2 linked regions of the Struthio camelus genome follow. The protein of the gene in region 2 binds, or shares a complex with, the protein of the main gene of each other region. Links are inferred from orthologs where the notes say so. Each region holds a gene or a part of one and is shown on either strand. Other genes may lie near its edges.

Evidence for each region.
Region 1: the proteins of DIAPH1 (region 2) and PFN2 are in contact, whole or in part, in a crystal structure (PDB 2V8F), measured with the Mus musculus proteins. The link is inferred for Struthio camelus from reciprocal best matches to the Homo sapiens genes DIAPH1 and PFN2. Residues at the interface, in NP_031884.1 of Mus musculus: Ile635, Pro636, Pro637, Pro638, Pro639, Pro640, Leu641; in NP_062283.1 of Mus musculus: Ala2, Gly3, Trp4, Ser6, Tyr7, Asn10, Ala28, Tyr30, Trp32, Arg108, Met131, Tyr134, Leu135, Ser138, Phe140.

What each region holds. Positions count from the first base shown.
Region 1 is NC_090950.1:33,983,819-33,995,203, reverse strand, and holds the start of PFN2 (profilin-2), read right to left. Parts: upstream 5,173-11,385; 5' UTR 4,953-5,172; coding exon 4,821-4,952; intron 3,750-4,820; coding exon 3,557-3,749; intron 1,821-3,556; coding exon of another isoform or gene 1,723-1,820; exon of another isoform or gene 1,512-1,722; coding exon 1,414-1,511; 3' UTR 1-1,413. UniProt on the Homo sapiens protein: Binds to actin and affects the structure of the cytoskeleton. At high concentrations, profilin prevents the polymerization of actin, whereas it enhances it at low concentrations. By binding to PIP2, it inhibits the formation of IP3 and DG.
Region 2 is NC_090954.1:22,031,838-22,043,026, reverse strand, and holds the start of DIAPH1 (protein diaphanous homolog 1), read right to left. Parts: upstream 4,297-11,189; coding exon 4,171-4,296; intron 1-4,170. UniProt on the Homo sapiens protein: Actin nucleation and elongation factor required for the assembly of F-actin structures, such as actin cables and stress fibers. Binds to the barbed end of the actin filament and slows down actin polymerization and depolymerization.

The sequences.
Region 1 (11,385 bases), on a different chromosome or scaffold from region 2:
AGTTAAAATCCATCTCACAATAGCAACAGTTTTTTTTTTTTTAAACAATAGTATGGCACAGAATACATATTAAAAATTCATCACAAGACAGCCAAGTCAGTTATTCCAACCAACACCATCTCCCATTTATTCTTTTGTATACAGAATTCTGCAGTTCTCTTTAATTGGACATACAAGTTAGTACCGTGCCTGAACTGAGTTTGGTTACACACATTTCAGATGACTCGTGCACAAGGCAGTTCACTTCATGATTTCTGCAGCAAGGGTGTGTCAAGCCAAATGAAGATTTTAAATTTGAAATGGCATCATTTTGACAGTTTAGCTTGCAAACTACCAACCTTCATCCAAATAGTGGCTTCAGAGCAGCAAAACTCTTTACCAGTAAGTGATCTGGCAGAAAGACTGGAGTCAGTCAGAGCTCCCAGAATAGCTGAAGGTGGCAGTTTTCCACAATGACATTGCAGTTTCATATTAAAAAAACGGGGGGAAAAAAACCCAACAACAACAAAAAAAACCCAAGCTGCAAATTAAAATTGGTCCTATGAAAAACTGAAACCAGACACACTCCAGATGGTTATGTTGGGATATCTAATGTCCATAATGGCAGCCTTTTACAATTCAACTACAGAACAGGAGCTGGCAAAAAAAAAAAAAAAAAAAAAAATTAAGTGCCTGAGCTATTGCAGTGATGGAATGTCCCTGGCGATTCATTCAGGATGGTGGTTGTAAGGTCATGGGAGGAAGTGCATCTGCACCCTTTGATAGTTTTGTGATTGCACTTATTAAGCAGTCCGTGCGTCAGACACCATGAAGAAAAAAAAAAAAAAAAGACTTAAGCCTACAGTGAAGTGCAACAACAAAACTAATGTAACATTAATAGCTTTTGAGTGGCAAATTGGTTAAACAAACCAGGCACTATAAAAATAGGTTAAGCAAACAAAACGTGAATTAAAAAAAAAAGGAGAGGGAGAGAAGTAAAGATATGCATGCACTTTTTTCCTCCCACCCATGCTCTATGAAAGGAAGACTAAGTGAGCTGCGTAATTGCTCAAAGTGCTGAAGAGGCATTGATCAAATCAGATTGTACAATCGGCACCTTGTTTAGTATTTAAGTTGTTTTAGTTGTCAATACCACGCTAATTGCTAAGACAAAGCAAAGCCTAGACTTGGCGTATTCCCCTCCCAAGAGTTTTTCAAGGTATCATGCATATCATCATTGTGGTGCAGTAATGGTGCCAGATATGGGACTTGGTTACATACAGTGGTTAACATACAAATGAACAAAGGGTAACTGGAATTATGACATTAGAAAATGGGTAAATAAAAAACACAAACTACCATCTACAGTCTGGTAGCACTGAACACAACTGGGTGGTGATGAAGACAGTTGCTAGGTGGATGGGGAGAGGCTGCTTAGACGTCAGACCTCCTCAGGTATAAAGCCAGTTCATATGCTTTCTTGTTGAGTGTCCCTCCATGGACACCTTCCTTTCCCATGACTATAACCAATGCTGGAGTACACAAGGAAACAAAACAGAAATGAACAGAATTAAAGAAAAAAATAACACCTTTCCCCACCAACAAAGGGATACAAAGGAGACACAGGTTCATACCCCATCACCCTGCATTGCTAATAAAGTTTCCAGAATGTAAGGTTTAAAGCTCACCGCCAGGAAAGTTTAATAGCAATCTTCCCCTAATACTTAACAGTCTGCCTAGCAACTAGAACCCAGAGTCTCTCAAGTATTTTGCCATTGAGTATGCCTTCTTATTCAATCCGCCTCCATGGACCCCTTCTTTGCCCATTACAAAGACCAAGACTGAAAGAGAAAAGAAAAAAAGTTTTAAAAAGAGTGTGTTAGACAAGGAAAATAATGCAAGTTTTAGACAGTGCAATAAACACACTCAAATTCAAGTTTTAGTATTTGGGTATTAAGCTCGTTTAACAGGAGTTTTGTAAAAATACAGATGGTAGATGGGGTTGGGAGAAGGCATGAGTTATCCTCCAGGATATTACACAACTATGTAAGGCATGAGAGTCTACTGCTAAAAAAGATGTCAACCTGAAGAGCTACCAGCTATCTCAGAAGAGCATCATGATGCCTATCTACCATCAGCACCATTCATCATCAGCCAGCCAGGAAACCCTGGCTATGTTTTAAACGTACGGAAAAAAAGGTTAACAAAAGCGGTAGTATGTAGGGAAGAACTGTGATTCTGAAAAGCGGCAGAAGAGGGAACGTTCTTATCTGTAGGGGTCACTGCTGGCAAAAGAACCAGGCTTGGTAGTAGTAAAAAAATACAGGGTCAGACTTGAGCTAAGACTTGTGCAACAATACAGCTATAAAAAACACTTAACTTTTTGCACGAGATGAAGCGCAGAGAAGATTTTAATGCTGACCCTCTCTCTAATCCCACAATTTGGGTGATGAAGTGTCAAACTGTCTGGCAAATGAGAACACGCTAAGGTTCTTCAACCAGTAAGGCATCATCTGCAAGTTGCCACCAGATGTCACTAGCATGTATACGGCCACATTAAGCACTGTGCTTTCACAAGCACAATAGTTTTTTTCTAAGTTAGGAATAGTGTAATTGGAAATACTGCAGTCAGCCTACCTAAAGGTGACTGCACATCTCCATAGCAATTTGCTCACAAGAAGCTTAAGACAAACAGTTCTCATTAGCATTTCAGAATGCGCAGAGAAGATTCAGAACTCTACTTGTGTAAGGGCTGCCAACGTTCTTTGTGGATGGTCGCCACCGCGTAGCTTTAGCCGACAGACAAGTTTTGTGCTACCTTTTCGTACTTTATAAGCAAAAGTCCATTGCTCACCAATTTAGCCTATAGCTATCCAAAAAATTCTAGGCTAGATATTTTGAACACAAGCCGTACTACTTGTACCCAGTGTTTTGAGGGAAGATTTTTACATTCAAGTCCAGTGCGTTCCCAGTAACATGTTTTCCTGGAAGTTAAATGAGAAGCGCAAGGAGCGGTGAAACTAGCGTAAATCAAGCTTCTCAGTGATACCGAATTGGACAGGCCTTTTTGCCTGAAGACAGACTTCACAGAGCTCAACAGAAAGTGCAAGAAGAGTTAGTGTGGAACTTGTTAAAAGGCATGTAGAAGTAGCTCGCTCGTACAAGAAATTCACATCTTTGCAGAATAAACTTTCTGTTGAGTTTACAAGGGAAAAGCAAATTTCACTAGAAAGCATTAACCTATCCCTATGATACTCTATTGTAAATTTTAAATAGCAAGTTACAGTACACTTGGCAAGCTTACTTCAATCCATAGCCTACTCCTGCTTCTCAGAGGGGTGTTTTACCATATAGCAGTCTAGTGCCCAGCTATGATCACACGTGGGCAACCAGGGCAAGTGGAATTCCTAGGCAGAAATCTAGTTAATCGGCCAGACAGCAGCCATCCACCCACAGTATGTCACATCCTGAAACTAGTTGTTAAACACAAGATTTCAGGCTCCTTTCGTAGACTGAGCCTATGATCAGAGTCACGTTCTTAGTTCAGTGAACTGAAACCGAAGAAAGCGACGCTTACCTCGGCCAGCTCTGCCTACAGCAACGTTGTACGTTGGCTCACCACCTTGACTCTTTGTCCTGATGTCCATTGTGCAGTCGCCATCAACGTACAGGCTATCTCTGATCACAGAGCACTTCTTTGCACCAAGGGTCAGACCATTGGTGAAGAACCCCTCTCGGTCTTTTCCTACAATCATATCTATTTCTATTGGCTGTCGGAGAGAAAAGTCTAGCGTTAGCATGGTAGTACCTTACAGCATAGTCCCTATTTTAAAAGGGCCTTCTCTCTTGCAGGCAGGGTTAGGCAGTAAATCCCTCAGACAGCGCTCGGGAACACCGTGCTCGTTATTCACGATTCACGTTGCAGCAGTTTAGCGCAACTTAAGGACCGTTGTCCTGAAAGGCCTCGGAAGCTGCAGGCCGGCTCCCGCCCAACGGCGGCTGCGGGAGGGACGGGGGCAGCGCGGCGCCGCCGCTCGGCCCGCCCCCAGCGCCCGGGCAACAAAGCGGCTCGGGCCGCGGCGGCGGCGGGGCCGGGCCCGGCGCGGCGCCCGCGAAGTGCCGAGTCACGGCAGGCCCGGCCGCCCCAATCACGGCCCGGCACCGCCCGGCCCGGCCCGGCGCTCGCTCCCTCCCTCCCTCCCTCCCTCCCTCGCCGGCCCGGCGCAGGGCGGGGGCGCGGTGCGGTGCCTGCCGGCGGGTCGGCCAGGGCAGGCCGCGCTCCGCACGGCGCCCGCCCGCCGCCCCCGTGTGCGGGCAGCGCGGGCCGGGGCCGGGGTTGGGGCGGCGGCGCGGGCCGGGCCGGGCCGGGCCGGGGGGGGGGGGGAGGGAGGCAGCGATCAATGGCAGTGCGCCATCTTGGCGATGCAAAACATGGAGCCAGCGGCGCGGTGGGTATTCACGAACGCCTCCTACGCCGCGCACGTAAGTCCCTCCGCAGCGCCGGGCCCGGGCGCAGCCAGCGCTACGCAAAGCGCCCCCCCACCCCCCGCCGAGCACGCCCCGCGCGGCCTCTCCCGCCGCCGCCGACCGGCCCCCGCGGCCCCGGCCCGGCTCGGCCCCGCGGGCAGCGCGGGGCGGGACCCCGCCGCAGCGGGCCGCAGCCCCCCCGCCCCGGCCCGGCGGCCGCCGGAGCCGCAGACAAAAAAGGCAGCGGCAGCGCCCGGCCCAGCTCCCGCAGCGGCGCCGCGCTCTGCGGCGCGGGGCTCCCGCCCGCCCCCGCCGCCCGCAAGGTGCCCCCGGCCCGCCGGCCGCCCCCGATCGCCCTTGGCCGCCGCCCTCACCGTGATGCTCTGGAAGATGCCGCCGGCCGTGGCCGCCCAGACGTACTTGGCGTCGCAGTAGCCCACAATGGCGGCCTCCTGGCAGCAGCCATCGCACATCAGGTTGTCCACGTAGCTCTGCCAGCCGGCCATCTTCGGCGCGGGCGCAGCGGGCGGGCGGCGGCGGGAGCCGGGCGGCGGCGGCGGCTGAGGCGCGGCGAGGCGAGGCGAGGCGGTCCCTCTCCCTCTCCCTCTCCCTCTCGCTCTCGCTCCCTCCCTCCTCGGCGGCGCGCGACGGCGGAGCGGAGCCCGAGCGCTGCAGCGAGCGGCGCGCCCCAGCCCACCCGCTGCCGAGCCGAGCGAGGGGCGGGCGGGAGGAGGGGCGCGGCCCGGCGCCGCCCTCCGCGTCCCGCGGGCCGCCGCCGCCGCCGGGGGGGGGGGGGGGGGGGAGATGGGGGGCGGTGCGCCGCGGCCGCGCCTCCCCCCGCCGCCCGGCTCTGGCTGCGTCGCGCGGCGCCGTCGCCCGGGTCCGGCCCGGTCCGGTCCGGCCTGGCGCGCTCCGGTCGGCAGGCGCGGTAAGCGGGGCGGCGGGAGGGTCCCCGGGGCGCGGCGGGGGGGCCGGGCTGGGCCGCGGGAGCCCCCCCAGGCGGCGGCGGAGGGCGGGACCCGGTCCGGTGCGGTCCGGTGCGGTCCGAGCCGGCGGCTGCCCTCCGCCGAGGCCGGAGCTCAGGTCGCTGCCCGCCCTCCTCGGCGTTGCACGTTTTGTCCCGCACAGCCCGTGGGCGGCGGGCAGGGCTGCTGGCGCCGTGACGGGCCTTCGGCGCGGCCCCGAGCCGCAGCCGCAGCCGGGGCCGGGGCGGGCGGCCGTGACGCCAGGGCCGCCGCTGCCTCGCCTCGCCTCGCCTCGCCCCTCCCGGGTTCCGACGAGGTTTTGCCGAGACAATTCAGTTTCCGCGTTGGCGGTGCGGGTTTGATGCCTTGGCGCTCGGCCCCGGGCAGGCTCGCCCCTCACAACGCTCTCCTCCTGAAAACTGCAGGAGCGTCTGCGTGAATCGGGGTTTCAGGGCAATGGCTCGGTCCGACTTAAAATTCGGATTTCACAGGTCCCCTTCCTTTTGGACAGGACAGTTTTGCTTTGTTTGCTTTATCTCTTATGACTCCCTAGAAATGAAAATGAGTGGAGCGTGAAGTGGCTTTCCACGTAGCTTACTCTGGAGCTCTAATTCAAGCAGCTGGAGCTAATACCTGAATTTTCCAAGGCACAGAATACAATATTTGAATCTGGTTTTTCCTGGGGTTATCTCCCCCAGCAAGAATATTCACCAGGTATTTATAAGCAGTGTACCCTCTGCACGCCTGAGGCTGTTCTTACTCCCTTTAAACTAAACCCTAATTCAGTTGTCATGGGGTTGGCTGTTGTTTAGATGCTAACAGAAGCTGTTTTGATTATTTGATACTTACTGAAGAGCTTATTTTGCACCTTTTAGCTCAAATCTATAAGTATTTTTGCTGTTTTATGTTCACACTGCCTTTTCCCTACTGAATTTAGACAGCACCATTTGCTTTATGCTTTCCCATCCATCCATCCATGTGTCCCAGAAATGTCCTCATACAGTTGTACTTGCTAACGAGTTATGGGCTTTACATTTGCCTTTGGCCCTTTAAATAGCTAAAAGTTTTTGTGATGTTTGGTTTGCCTTCCTCATCTTCTCTCCCCAGATTACTTTCATGGGAAGAAGGAAAAGGCCTCTTCTGTCCGAACTGGCCATTGAGGACCACTTCTCTTGTTAATGTTTTCCTGCAAGGGCTCCTGGGCCGCCGCTGTTATTTGCACAGACGGAATGCATCAGTCTGAAAAGAACAAAAGGCTGATGGGTTTTTTTTTTTGTTGTTGTTGGAGTTGGATCAAAGTGCGGAGGATTTTTTGTTTATTTGTATGTGTTTTTGGTTTTTTGTTGCTTTTGCAAGCCGGAGTGAGAATTCCAGATTGTTCCACTTTAATAAGTGGATTTAATAAATAGAGAAGCAGGCACCTTATCACCCTTTGCCCAAGGGACAGGGCTTGGGAATTCCTGAGCTGCTCGTTTGTCAGCCTCGTTATCCTTTGATTAGGGAGGCTTTGCGTGGGCAGCAGGCTGGCTGGTCCAAGCGTGGAGGTAGAGGTCGCAAGAAGCTGCGGGTATCCAGGGCTTTAGCCAAAAGCTGCGCTGGCCTCTTGCCTGGAGTTACCTCACCTTCTTGCACACCCGTTCTGACACATACGGCCCTCCCTTCTGCCTGAGGACCGAGAATACCAATTTTCAGAGCGCTCACAGCCTGACGTCCTGTTTCATGGTAGATGGGGGCCAAATGGTGCCTGCCGTTTCAGAGCTGAACTTAGTCAGGAGAGGCGTGCTGGTACTTTAGCAGCCATGTGTCATGTCTCTTGCTGATGAACGGGAAATCGAGCCACTTCTGTTTTGTGCTGGAACCACAGAAAGCTGGAACCAGTGTTGTCTCTGAGGGCAGTATATTTGAGGGGGACGAGGATTCCTTTAGCAGACTCGTGAAAGCCCGTCTTCCCAAAAGCATGACGCATCACTCCCTCCTGGGTGAGTTCACAAGGAGGTCCTGCCCGACAGCCTGCTTCCTGCGAGCGCCCTCAAGTCCTCAGCAGCCAGGTGAGCCTGGTGCGAGTGAGGTGCTCCTTAATGATCCCTGGGACTCCAGCAGTCTCATCAGTTTAAAATCAGCTGATTTTAGTGAATCTTCTGCATAATTAGTCAAATCTTTCACTTGGATGTAGTTGAATACAGAGTGGTTCAGATAATCTTACCACTGCTTTGTGCAGAATATCCCTTTTTTAACAGCTGCAAAACATAGGTAATCACTAGTGTAAGTGGCACTTTGATGAAAGAGGTTGTGTTAGCAAGGCAGGGGGTACGCTTGTTTGCCTTTCATGATGGAAACAACTGCGCTGAGGCCTTGGATCTTCTGAGCATAAACGGATGGAAGGGAGTAGAGAGAGAATTTGCCACATACTCACTTGGTAGCTCAGCTTTTACTGGTGTGGTTCGTGGAGTAACGCTAGCAATGTATTTAGAAAGTGAAGTCTAAATTGGGTTACCACTATTTAATATTATGAAACTACAAGGTAGCTTGTATAAATCACAAATTTTAAGTCACCAGTACTTATATCTGTAATCATAATCCTCTAATTCTAATTGTACTGTGAGATGTCTGATTTGGTAGCGTTGGAAGTTATCTTACAGAATCATTATAACGCTGTTTGTGTTGACGCTTTTGCAACAGCAGCTTTGAGACTGTTTGAGTTAAGAAAACGGGGATGTGCGCCGTATGTTAAAGACGGCAAGAGAGAGGGGTTCCCGTTGTACTTTTTTTGTTACGAATTTTAATGAGAATGTATGACAGTCATTCAGGTTGCTAAATGAAGGATTATATAAAAATAAAAATGTTGTTAAAATTCATAGATATAGTGGGTCATCTTAATATCAGTACCTATATTTATGTGTTAAATGTTCCTATTTGAACACGAGCTATAAAATTAAGATGAGCTATAAAATTAAGATGAGCTAGTGGTTGCTGAACTGTGATTTCTTGTCTTTTCAGTCTCTTTTTACGTTCTGCCTGCTAGTCCCCCTTTTTGGAAGGTACGCTGCTGCCGCGTTTTTTAATGCAGCTTGTAACAATTGCTAGGGGTTTTTTGCTTCGGTTCAGAATGTCACCTCAAATTTTTATTGGATCAAACCTAAGAACAAATGCTTTTTTGAAATCATTTTAAAATGTAGACTGTGTACTATTTATAGCTTTGTAAAACGCCTCACTGCCTTTATATTAGTAACATAAAAGTTGAAGTTGGCCAAAACCTTGAAGAGGTGTGTATGTTTTGTAGGTAGAATAAGTTGCAGTGTTCTGTCAGGCTTTATAACTACCGCTGTTGCTGCCGTGCCCAACGTGGCTGGAGGGCTAACGGTAAGATTTCTTGTGATGTCCCCGGCTCTTCTTGTTTTCCACCAAATTCACCCATTTGGAGATAACTGTAGATGGCATTTATGTATAGACAGGAGGAGCAGGTGACCATCAACAGAAGGCAAGACTGACTTCACAATGAAAATTAAACTTTACAGGGCAAACAGAACAATATTGAAGAAAGGATTTCGATTTTTTTTTCTTTTCTAATACAGAATTCACTTAGGTACAAAATTTTCAAATAGAAATATTATTTTCAAGCTTATTGTGTTGCTGCTCTTAATTGAAAACTTAATCTGGGAAAAAAAAAAAAAAAAAACCCACCCCACAGATATAACCAGTCTACCTGAAACCATGGGGAAAAAAAAATCCACGTTGTGAGTTTCTGGTGGTTTGACTGTGACGTTTCATTCAGTACCTCTAAACCAACAAAGTTCATTCAGTATGTTCTTTGTCTCCAGTGTTACCAATTTTCGCATTAGTTTGTGGTACTGCTTTTGATACTTCCTCTCTCGACCGCATGGTACGTCCTGTGGCAGCCTGTGTTCTTTACCGCAAGCGCGCTCGGACGGGCAGAGGGTGGGACTGATTTAGCAGCGCGGTGCGTTAGCGGCCGCGGCGCCGCTGACGGAAAGCCGAGAAGCAGGGAGCGTCCTATCTTGTAATCTCATGGCGATAACCAGAAACCCGTGTTACTAGCGTGCTTCCCCAACTGATTGACTAACTTGGATGGAGAACGAGGAAGCCACCGAAGGCTAGGATGAGTCTTAACTAGAAGTATTAAATAATTAGTATTAGTAAATACTTAAATAGTAAAAATTAAATATTAATGAGTTGAGGATTAAAAAAATATGGTTATAGAAAATGAAATGAACATTAGATTGAGGCTACAATGCAAAGTTTTATTGCCTAGCTACATCTGTGCAGAAAAAAAGCCATATCCCATGTCAGCATAGTTATGATGGCACTAAAAAGAATCTTGTAAAACGGTGCTGGAAACTATCCAAGAGGTTCTGCGAGAAAGGTCTTTTGTTAGTACCTCTTCCATCGTTTGGAAGGGCAGTTTAGCTCCAAGCGCGGATGTCAGTTAAATCTCCATAGAGGAGTCTTGCCTGGTGTGGTTGTGCCAGTATAGAGTCTTTGCCTTTCTAGGGGTCAATGAGGTAAGTAAATAAGAGGAATTTTTCTTCCTTATCTTTTGTTTAGCCCTCAACTTCCCACATAAACCTAAAATGTAACTTATAAAAATGAATGCAAGGTTAGACATGCTTGCTGTGTCAGATGCTAATGGTATGAGGTTGCTTCTATTCAAGTACGATAGCTTTAAATCTGAGTAAGGACAACTCTTTGTGGATCTGGTTTATAGACTGTCTAGCCAGAGAAGTCATAAAGATGCTGGAAATGGAGCTTTGCTCAGCTTTTGGGCTTTTAAACTAAGAACTTGATTTCACAAGCGGCCAACACGCTATAAACATTAATCTGATAAATTATACGTTAAAAAATGTAGGTAAATTCTTACCTGGGCAAGTAGTCTCAGGTTCATAGTAGTGTCTTCAGTGAGAGTCCCTGTATGAGTGAGGCGTGCAGAATTAGGCCTGTATGACCCAGCTTGCTGTGTATTCGGATTTGTCAAGCACTCAAGTTACTTGGTGTACTTAGATCCTGCAATATTTTATTTTGCTTTAAAAAAATAAAGTAAATTGAACCCAAACTGATAGCCCTCTTGAGCATTAACTCTTCGGTTGTAAAACCGGAGGAAATTCAGTAAGTTTAAGGATAGCGTGGTACAGCTGAGGGAGGGGGGAGCAGCGCCAATCCAAGCTCTTTTGTCCAGTTACTCCTGCTGAAGCTCGTCGGTGACCCTTTACATGTGCTCGTCAGCTCTTTCAGCACTATTTCAGTGAGTGAAAGGTGGTATGGAATCCAAAAAGCGAAAATGGAGACTAAGAAATTCAGTGAGGGAGGTGGAGAAGCCTGAAGTTAGAGGGAGAGGAGACAGAAAGGAGGAAAACGAAACAGAGTGAGGGAGCACGGGTTCAAAAGACGATCATTTTTTCAGGGATATCTGCTCAGTGTGGTTGAACAAGAGTAGCTAACTGTTTTATTACTATGAAGTCTGTATCTCTGCTTTTTGTGATTACTTAACTGACCTCACTGAGAAATGTTGTTGGATGAAAAGGAACAATATCTGACTTTTCCAAGGCTTCGTCTCATGTTTTCTTTCAAAGTTGAATGGTATATGATTTTACCTTTTTAATAATTGGTTTGCATTTTTGCCCTGTGCTAGCATACATCTAAAGAAGACTTCTGCTAATGCAGTATTACACTGAGGTTACATTGCAAATACACCAGGGCGGTATGTCACTCTTCCATGTTTAACGTGATCAAAATGTCAGCAGCAGCATCCTGGCAGACGGTGTATTTGTCACAGTCTGTATCCAGTCGTGGCCTTCTGTGCGTGGTCACGATCCTGTTATTAAATTGACAAACCTTTATGTTCTTCTAGCTTGTAGTTTCCTTATGTGATTGTTTCTGTGGTGCTTTCTGCTGTTCCTTCTGTCTACCACGTGGGCAGCCGGGGAGCTTTGTTCAGGATGTTGTTTCCTTCATTAATCTT
Region 2 (11,189 bases):
TCAGGATCATGGGATAAATGTGTTAACAAAAGGAAGATGCAAATTTACAGCCAGACAACTTTCATTCTAACTTTAACTTCTGAATGCTCAGCTTAGCAGAGTTCAGCATTCATCCACAAATAACAAATCTAATTTATATAAAGACAATTTCCCACATACGACATAACAGAAGAAAAAGATATTTACACCTGTTAAAAAAAAAAAAGCAGCACCACTTTTTAATTAAGCCTCAGATGCATAAAATAAAAAAGTAGCAGGAGGTCAAATGAAAAAGGAAAAAAAAAAAACCAAGAGAACAAGAAACTTTTCATATTAATCAGCAATAGTTTAGTAAAAAAGAAAGCAAGGAGAACAAGATTTCAGAGTTAACTCTTCTTAATCCTAAAAACACAACAGGACTTTGCCTTGAAAGATCTAATAGAGACATATAAGGAGGACGTGTGGTAGGGTAGGGCTATAATACCAAACAAAACGCTTGAGACTTTTTCAGCCAGTTTCATCTAGTGTACTAGTGAGATACTTTCTGACCTCTCAGTTTATCTGAAAGCTACCAAAAGAAACTCCAGGTAACAGGTAGCTTGACAGATGCACTACCACCTGCACAAGAGGGTCTGCAGCACACGGCTGTCGCGTGGAAACGGGCTGTCACAGGGCCCCATTAGAGAGCGCAGCCCAAGCTGCAGGACGGCACCGTAGGGCTCCTCAAGCTCCGGATCCACATGCAAGACACATCCCAGAAGCGGAAAGCACGCGGCTACGCTGAAAACATCCAAGAGCCCAATGCTGAAGAGGAGAGATGAGCATTACGGGACAAGGCTTCTCCCCTGACAGCTCTACACTTCACGAGCACTCGCAGTGCGGGAGAGTTTGCAAACATCTCTGCAGACATGGGTCTCCTCTGAATCTGAGGTGCAGCTCCTCTCTCTTAACCATATCAGAAAGGATGTAAATACTGACATAGACCAGACATCAGACCTTTCAGATGTGCTTCAAAAAGCGTGGCTATAGAGACCTAATGAAAAGGTTGAAGCATGTAATAACAGTATTAAAAAGTGTTGCTGTGAAGAACAGTTACAGAAAACAGATTCAGAGGAAGAAAACCAGAAAAAGGAAGGAGGAAATTGGTCTCCCTCAGAAGAAGGAAACCAGAGAAAAGGAAGAAGAAATTGGTCTTCCTAGCTAAATGAGACAGGTTACAGCAAGAAACAAAAACAGATGCAAGACAAAGCAGAACCGAACACGATCTTGAAAGTAAGGTGAAGAAAAAAAAAATGGGCAAGTTTAACTATATCAGAGTTCTGAAGAGAATTACTTTCACTGCTTTCTAATATCACACAGGTGTTTCTCAGGAAGCTGCAACTGATGTAAACCAACAGCATAGGTGGACTTTTTATAACCTCCATTGTTCCCTTACGACGGGGGACAAACACAGGAGTTGCATTTTGGATAGAATGAAGTAACAGAAGAACCAAGGAGGAGGCTGCTGCAGTGAAGAGATTGGGAAGTGACCAAGTAGCGCACAAGTATATTAGTCACTAGGACAGGAAGGGTGGGTCGAGGTTTGGAAGTTGGGAAGGCGGCGGCAGCAGCAAGACTTGCTTAAAAGCCTGAATGCACTGTCAACTCCAGGAGAAGCAGCAGCAAACTGTAATCTAATAAAGAGACATGATGATTTGCACACTTAGAGCAAATTAGAGAGCATTAAGTTTGCAAATAAAATACCAATGACAATTGATTGCATCATATTTATAGCAATCAGCGGCCAAAATGTTATGCTGCAGAAGACAGAGTTCATATGCAAAACTGTGCAGTAGGAGAGAGGTGAAGATGAAGGAATAGCTAACTTTTGAGGCTAAAGCAAGCTTCATAAATATGTCACAATGTCATCTACCATATTAGGTGCTTATGCTATTTTCAGTCTCGGAGCAAGTGTTGCTATTGTTGTACTTCCTAGCTAGAGGTACTCTGTTTCCCAGCACATGGAAAAAGTCTTGTGCGTTAATTACTCTGGATTTCTGCTTAGCCAGCAGATATAAAAGATTAGCTTCTGAATTTGGAGCAGGTCACTGGAAGCCAGGAAACTGAATTTGTCTTCTGAAATTTTTACAAATAAAAAACTTACTACAGAAACTGAACTCTCTTCATTCTGAAATCAAAAGCAGTAAGGCCAGGTTTTCAAAGGTGTTTAACTTGCCAAAATTCCAGTGGGCACCTTTTAGCCTCTTTAAGTACCTACGAACTTCGAAAACCTGCCTTGTAGTGAGAAGACAAGAATCCACCTGTCACCTAATTCCAGTTCATACCTCCTTACTTAATACATTCATGAAAATCATATATCCAACCAGTATAATCAGTATGTTTTTTGTTGTTTTAGTTAAGACCATCTGAAACACTACTACGAGGCTATATAATCAGATTTAAACTACCGAACTCAAACTACCATAAATAACACAAAATAGTAAACATATTTATGTGCACAGTAATAATAAAGGAACAAAAATAGCTCCCTGCTGTGTAATCTAATAGATGACCCATATGGACACAACATATCCTTATGAATAGCAAAAAAGTGTCGTTTTATCTATGACAATGAACTTGCGTTAAAAAAAAAAAAAGAGTACAAACAAAAAAGAAGGTTAATCTCAGTTTTCAGATCTCCTTTCTACTTCTACGTTGAGGCAACAGCCACAAACCGAAACAGGAAGTTCCATCTGAATCTGAGGAAAAACTTCTTGACTGTGAGGGTGACAGAGCACTGGCACAGGTTGCCCAGAGAGGTTGTGGCGTCTCCTTCCCTGGAGATATTCAAAACCTGCTTGGACGTGATCCTGCACGACGTGCTCTAGAGGACCCTGCTTGAGCAGGGGGTTGGACTCGATGATCTCCAGAGGTCCCTTCCAGCCTTGGCCATTCTGTGATTCCCAAAGGAGAACATGTTTCCTTTCGGCAAGCTACATCCTGCAAACGCGTCAGTACACAAGCATATATCCAGACTGCAACAAAGAGAGGAGAAAGTACCTAACCCAGAGTCCAGTGGTATGCCAACAGGAAAGGTGAGGGGAAGACATGCATGTACCCTGCTGATGCCAAGAGGAACCCAATACTATTTCAAACTCTGAACAACAGGATTACTGCATTTTCACCTCCCATTGTTATAGCAGATATTTTGCTAAACCGCTACTGAATTCAGCTCCTACTGCATTTAATAGGAGCAGAAGCAGTCCATGAACTGATACGGAAGAAAAGCAGAGTGTAAACACTCCGTAAGTCATGCAGCAGTCAGAAGAGACGGAAAGGGATGCACCGATCTTTCGCTTAGCGTCGAGACTTGTAGTTGTTTCCAGAGTGCCAATACAGGTGACCCCCCTCCCCCGCCAAACTTCCCAACCAGCAAAAACCCCTAGTTGTCTCCAGTTTCAGCCAGTTCCTGATAACATCTTCAAAGCCGCTGCATACAGTCAGCGCAACTGATTAATCACTTAAGTGCACATCACCGCAGAATAACTCCCGCAGCGCGGCGAGCGCGGGCAGCGCAGCGCTCGGCAGCGCCCTGCGCGCTTGCAGAAAGTTCAGCGCAGGCGGAAAGCCGGACGGCAGAAACGGCTGCGGCAGCGGGGCGACGGCGGCGGCGAGGGACCTCTGGCCGCCACCCAGCCCAGCGCCCCGCTCCCGCGGGGTCCGCCACAGCGGCGGGCGGGACACCGCGTTCAGGCGCCTTTTGAGCATCACCAAGGCCGGCGGGGGGGGGAGGGAGGGGGGGGGGACCCGTTGCCGTGAAAACGAGCGACGCTCAGCGCGAAGCGGGGGGGCCCCGGCGGCCCCGCCGCCGTCGCGCCCGCCACGGACCCCCCCCCCCCCGGGCAGACCCAGACCGCCAGCGAGGCGCGGGCAGCGGCGGGGGGAGCCCGCCCCCCCCCCCCTTCCTCGGGGGGGAACAAACCCGTCAGCAAGAGAAAACCGGTCCGCTTCCACCGGGCAGGCTGCCACAGGAAAGTTGCCGCCCGCCGGCCGGCCGGCAGCGGAGCGGCTTTGGCCGGGGTTTCCTCGCTGCGGGCGGCCCCGGCCCCCCCCGCCGCCCCGCGGTGACCGCGGCCGCCCGGGCCCGGCACCTGCGGCAGGTGCGGGCGGCGGCGCCGCAGCCCCCCCCCCCGCTCCCGCGCCGCCACTCACGAATTTCTTGGACTTGCTGGGGTCGCCGGGCCCCGCCGCCGCCGCCGCCGCCTCCTCGGGCGCCGGGGCCTTGCCCCGCTTCTTGTCGCGGCCGCCGCCGCGGGCCGCCCCCCCGCCGCCCTCCATGCCGCCGCCGGCTCCTCAGGCCGCCGAGCCCGCGCTGCCCAACCGCCCCGGCCGCGCCCGGCCCGGCCCCGCCCGCCTCATCCCGCATGCAGCATCTCATTAGCCGCATGAATATTCATGAGCCCGCTTCCGCTTCCGCTCCGGCCCCGCCCACTTCCTGCCGCCGCCGCCGCGCGCCCCCTGGCGGCGCCCGGCCGCCGCCGCCGCGAAACGCTCTCCCGGCGCCGCTGGCGCTCGGGCAGCTCCGAAGCAGGGAGGCGGCGCGCCGCCTTGGGGGGTTCTTGCCCTACGCCGCTGTGGCGGCACCTGCTCTTTCATTCAGTCCTCTGGGGCCGGTTTCGGCTCGCTGGGGGACCTGCGGGAGGTTGCCAACGTTTTGTCATCGGGCCCCGTTTTCCTGCTAAGGAGGCTTTGGAAAAAAACCCACACCCGTGTCCTTAAGAATTAAGACATGCTAGCTCCAGCCCCACCAATATACGCGGTCCTGTTTGGAGCAGAAACGCGTCCCTAACTGCGGCGAGGGCTGAAGCGTACCTCTTCCCGGGAGCTCCTGCTCCGCCACAGAACTCCAGGTACGCCAGCAAGCCAGGGGTCACCAACACACCCCCTCCGAAAACGTAACTAGAACTTAATATACCTGAAAAATAACCTGGTACAGCAGACTGAGCAGCAGCGTGGCTTCCTCGGTGCTGTGCGTGAGGCATCCGTGGTGGCACGCTGCAGAGGATCCTCCTCTGAGGCCCTTCCACCTTCCTTCCTTCAGTGAACCCGCTTGGATACGGGAGGCCTGGCACATGTTCCAGTCTTATTTTCAGCTGGATGCTACAGCAATTCAGCAGCTTCTATCGCCATTGAGCCAAATTAATTAACAGGTAAGCATCTAAGTGGCGAGTACTGCCAATCTAGGCTTCTTTGCAAGCCAATTTTTTGTGTGGCACCTCGTTGCCGAAGAACAGAGTTGACGTGATAGCTTTCTGCGTCACAGTACTTCGGGCACCACTGGACTTGCTCAGAGTGGAGTCAGCCCCATCACGCACAGCAACGGTTGCTTCACCTTACGTGGGACCGCAGACAGCACCGGGCAGGACAGCCAGACTGTTTGTTCACACACGTGCTATCCGAGTGTGCCTGGAGCATCCCACTCGAGTGCTTTGAGGGTCCTTTTGAGGGTGCCATGTGGTTCACGCCACAACCCTTCTCTAAAGGCCAGTGATCCAAGTTCAGCTTCTGCAAGCAAAGCCCTTTGGGCTTTTTCTTATCTATTGTTTTTCTGTCACCAAAGCATAGTATTTCTCCCAACCTTTTTTTCATTACCTTCTGGAGGCTTGCTCCATCCATGTGGGCCTCGGGTTGTTTCTTTTTCAAACAAGCAGGCACAGGATATTTCAAAGGGTGCCAGGCTCAGGATAAAAAGGGTGCTTCTGCTTCAGGTTGGATTCTTCCAGCCCTAAGCGCCTATCCCTACAAAGCCAAAATAACTGCTTGTTCTGGGTACCCAAACTAGCCATGCTGTGTGTCCAGCCCCCAGGAGTCAGCGCACATGTCCCTCGCAGGAGGAGTTGAACCTGAGTATATAAGCACAGTTGCAGAAGCCTCACAAACCACCAGCTAGGATTATGCATGAAATTTTTCTAAAACACTGCTACTGCAGTGGGAGCTTGATCCCATCCTTGGAGTAACAACCACATGCATTCATTTCTAGCTAGCCTTTCTCTCCCGCAACATGATCTGTGCAAATACTAAAATAGAAATAAAGCAGAGTTACTCACCAAGGACAGGAACATCTCTGAATATATTCACTCTTCAGAGCCAAATGAATTCTTCTGACCCCTTCATCTAAGTTTCTATTAAATAGAACTGAGCTACAATGCAGTGGCAAAATCAGTCGCACCTTTTTTTGGCACCCAGCATTACATCCTGTTCCCATCAAAAGGTTTGCAAGTCACCCTGTAGGGCAGCATAGCTGCACCCGCGTGGGCATTATTCTGATAATTCAGTCTCTCAACACACATCTTTCCTGCTTAGGTCATAGTCAATATTTGATGCACAGCAGGCAAGCCTGAAACAAGCAGCTATTCAAAAGTGCATTCATCAAATAGGCCTGAATTTTCTCCTTTTAATGACCAGAAAATGCTTGTTTGCTTCTGTTCCATTTGCCCGTGAAATCACAGAATGTGCTCAACAAAACACAGTCCTGTCTCCTCTCCGAGAGGAGGGGGGACACTTCTAGTGCCCAACACCCATTTTCCCAGATTCATACCAGGCAGGACCACTCTGATATTGGCCAGAAAATGTTTTGAAGGGATAGTTAAGGCATCCTCTGCAACTAAAGCCAAGCTGCTCCTAGTCCCGGAGGTGCGCCCATGTTCCGGGCTCCAGCCTTACAGTCGCTATATGCTGCTCATGACTAAGCACTCTTCCTTTTGCTGCCAGTTCACTTATGGAGCTCCACTGACTTACCTTGCTTCCAAATGGGGAGCTAGTGACGTGGTTGCGGCCTCCAGGTTAAATTACATCATTCGCTGTGTCCAAGGGGCAGCTGCTAGTAGTTCAGGACAGGCCACCTTGTCTTCCCTCTCTTTTTGGCTGCCATAAGCATTAAGCACCTGCTCCAGTTACTCTGTTGGCTCCCAGTCATTTTTGGAAGAGTCATTTAAGGCTTTTGGTCTTCATTTTCAAAGCAATTAGTGAGCCCGGTTACGGCTCTATGAGAAGTCCACATTTCAGCTTATCAGCCCACATCAGAGCTGTGTTCCTCTGGGACGACTGCAGACTGCAAAATCTGAACAAAGCATGAGGCTGGCCTGTAACAACACATCCTTGGCCAAGGAGGGTCAAGCTCTGGGGGGAACTGTCAGACGGAGCCACAACTCTGTCACCTTTAGGAAACCTCCCAGATCAAGGGCTTCCACCTCAATCACAGAGACATTCACATCATCCCTACCTCTATTTTGAACAACTGAATTCAAAAATACAAAGGGAGCTTTTTTCCTGCTAAAATATAGGAAAGAAAATACAGCAAGAGAGGACAAAAGTACTCTCTAGGAACTTTGTGACTGAATTTTTTTCACCCTTCTGTGATCTCTGTTGCCCATCGATAACAGCAACTAAATGCAGTCAGTTGACGCTCACTGTGTACGTTATAAACTGCAGCTGTTTTATCTATTTGTGCAAGTGTTGGTTCTCACACATTTCCTAAAGATAAATAAATCTGGCTTAATTTAATTTCAGTTGGTACCAGACTATCCTGTACTTTATAAAGCAGCCTACCAGTCAATTTTGTGTTAGATACATATCATGACCCCACATTCAAGATGTGCAAGTTTGCCACCTTATCTAGTATATTACTACTGTGGATTTCACACTTGTCTTGTTCCTATCCACTTCAGTAGGCATCTATTACTGGGTGATGCCAGAGACAAGACACTGGTCTACATGAACCTTTGGTCTAATGCAGCTTGAGTAGTCCTGCAGTATCAGATGGCAATTTTAGTTCAGTTTCTCATTTCTGACAGCTCCGTTGCAGTGGGAAAATACAACTGGGAGGAAAAATCTCTACAGCCTGAATTTGTTTCACAGCCGTTTCCAAGAAAACCCATCAGAAACCCAGATAAAGACAATCCTCTGAATTTGCAGCCTTATTTCAAAACCCAGAACAGACAAGGATTCTGAAGAGGGAAAGTTTGAATAGCACAGGCTGTACAAGTGATGCATACCATATCACAAGGAGGAAAGAAAGCACTTACGTTTCTCTACTGTGGGAGGAATGGAGCCTAAAAAGGCTGCCAGGGGAGGGCTTATTATGGGATAGAAAGAGATGTGCGAATCAAAGTGCAGGAGGAAGAGCAATACAACTGAAAGCCCCAGAATTTGTTGCTTCTTAAAAGTAACAGAGGTACCTCAATGCAAACAGGACAGGTAATTTTGACTAAGAACTGGCTGTGGAGTTTTTGCGAAGTTTACAGTCTTCATCAGTAAGAGATGGAGCTACAAGGGGAGGATTTCCCTCTTCTTTTGAAGAAGCAAATATTGACTACTACCAGAGGTGAGAGACTGCATTCCTGTAAATCAGCTTTGATACAACTGATGACACCATCAGATGAAACAAGCTAGCTCTCTGATGATATCAGATGAAACAGGAACTGGAATTTAAAAAAAAAAAAAGTTATTTTCTGTTCAGATTCCAGTCTTTGTTTTTCAAAACTCTGGCCATTGTACTGGCATTTTGAGTCTTCTGATATGCAAAGTACAGCATGTCAGCTAAAGCACATAAGGAACACAAATATGATTAACCAAGCCTTAGGGTAAGCGCATAGCAATACTTTACAGAACATACATCCAGTGTCCAAAAATTTGTGCTTAGAAGTGTCTTTGAATTTAACAACCTTGGTCCTTTTTATTTTTTTTCCTAGTCCCTTTCTGAACCCACAGAAGCTTTCAGTATTCACAGTACTTCATGGCAAGTTGCACTGTCCATCTAGGTATGCACAAAACAACTTCCTTCTTTTGAACTAGCCACTTGCTAGCTTCTTTTGATGCTCCTCTAATTCTTGTAGAAGGAGAGATTTTCTCTGACGCTTATGACTTTATAGAACTTACAGATCATTTTCCAACTCAATTCTCTCTTCCCAGCTGATGAATCCTTGTCTACTGAGTCATTCCACATGCAGAAGCTGTGCTGCACCTTTCATCAGCCTCAGCGTCCTTCTCCATAGCTAGTCTAATTCTACTATAACCTTTTGGAGAAGCAAGGGCAAAATAGCACACAGCATGCAGGACATGAATGCACATCATTGCCTGAGATATCCTAAGCTGTTTGCCCTAGGACACTGGTCAAGTAGAGTGGAAACAACTGTAGAGAACCCTGCATGCAAAAATACTATTTCTCTAGGCACATAGCGGGAGTAACAGTGAATGACTGCCTGCTTTACACTGTAGTAGTAAAGTGAGCTGCAGCTCACTTGTGGCAGAGTTTTACCTCCTCCCCATAATCCTGAGGCCTTGGGCTGGCAGTTGTGTAAACAGCCTAACAGGAACAGGCGTAGCCTGTGAATACATCCAACCGACCCGGTCAAGTCGGTGTCTCCTTCTGGCCCTCACATCCCAAGTTACATACGCTCTGTTCAATGCTTCCTGAATCATATTTTCCTCTTTTACCTCTCCTGTTTTTCTACACAGAAGCTTTATTGGCAGTGGCTACTGTACAAAAAGTAAGAGGAATGTCAATCCACGCAGGCTCATGAGAGCTTACTTGATAAATGACAAATGTCATGGGCCTGGGGAGGGGCAATGAAGAGGTAGACAGTGGCAGGTCTAGGAACAAAGAGAAACAGTCTCTAACTTGGGCTTTAGGAAAGTGGGAATGCAAAGGGCAGATTCTTACGCAAGCTGCAACTCAAAGAAACTATGACATTTAAAACTATTATTGGAAAGGTTGCATAAACCAGCTTTGTAGCTTCCTGTAAAGCTTTTACTAGAACCAGAGGGATAAGCAGGAGCGTCTATCAGCCCACGGGACCTGTCCTTTTGTACAGGAATTCAAGACTCTCTCCTCATTGTGCACTGAAGCAGAAAACTCGCCGGCATACACTTAGAGGAGCTGAATGCCCTCCATTCATCTAGCAAACAGGAACTTTCACAGGTCAGACAGCAGAGGACACTACCCTATGATACATGTATTCTCAGTCCTCGACAGGCCAGGAGCCAAAAAGGCATGAGCATTAAATAGACGAACAACAGGTCAGGTAAGAAAAATACTGCCTCTTGATTTAATGTTTAAAGACATCAGTAAACAAACAGAACAGTACAGACAGTAAGAGGCTAAACCCCTCCCCTCACCCTAACAACACTCTCCAAACCGTGACAGATGCCAGGTGATGACTCAGGAGAGGGAGCAGCAATGTTTGAGATTTCAGGGATGGCGAAGAGAAATCTCTTCGCTATGTGAGGGCAAGAGGAGAGGAGTTACAGGAAGCAGCTTCCCTCACCCCTGAACAGAGCGATGTCTCTTGGGCACAGTCAGGAAGGAATGCTTTTCACTCCAAGTGAGCAGCCCAAATCTTTTTCAAACACATAAAATGGGCATGTGTGAACTTGGAAAACATGGCCGGAAGCTACATTAAAGGTGCAAGACACATTATGTACTGACCTTGGCAACCAAACCTATGTTCCACAGTGATTTTAGCCTCTTGAAGAATGATAAGAAATGGGAGCTAGGTCCAAGTTAGCAAGTGCTGCAGTACTTGTTTCTGAATTCAAAACTAAATATGGGAGGAATGAACAAGACCGTACTCTGCATACATTCTTCTACTCTGCTCCATCAAGCTGCTCCCTGCTCCAGTCACATCCCCAGCCCCAGCCCAGAACTGGCCTTGTCTTCTTGAATGGTTTTCCTCGAGCTGTGGAGCGTCAGATAGTTAGAAAGGCTATCGGGAGGCAACCCTCAGTGCAGGCTTCAGAGGATAATCGATTGGGTACCTGAGTAGAGGGCTGGGGAAACCAGGATGTATCCGGTGTTGTTGCTGAAGAGAGGCAGATATTCTAGGCACAAGCGCTCCAGCTCCCACCTTTCTGGCAGAAAGCAGCCAGCACTGGAGTTAAAGGAGCTGACCGAACCAGTGCAGATCAGGCTCTGAAGGTAGTTGAATGGCTGCCAGACAGAGTTTACAGCACAGATTTGAGTGCTACTTGGATCTCCGTTTCCCAGAGTGGTGACATGTGGAACCCTGACACATGGCAGACCGTAAGGACCACATTTCACCGCTCTCTGCTTCTCCAGGTAGCAGAAGCCCGCAATGGTGCTGTTTCTGCTACCACAACATGCAATCAAATATGAAGGGAGGGTGAGCCGGCTCACTTGTGCCCCAGTTCACTGCACCAAGCACCAATGTCCA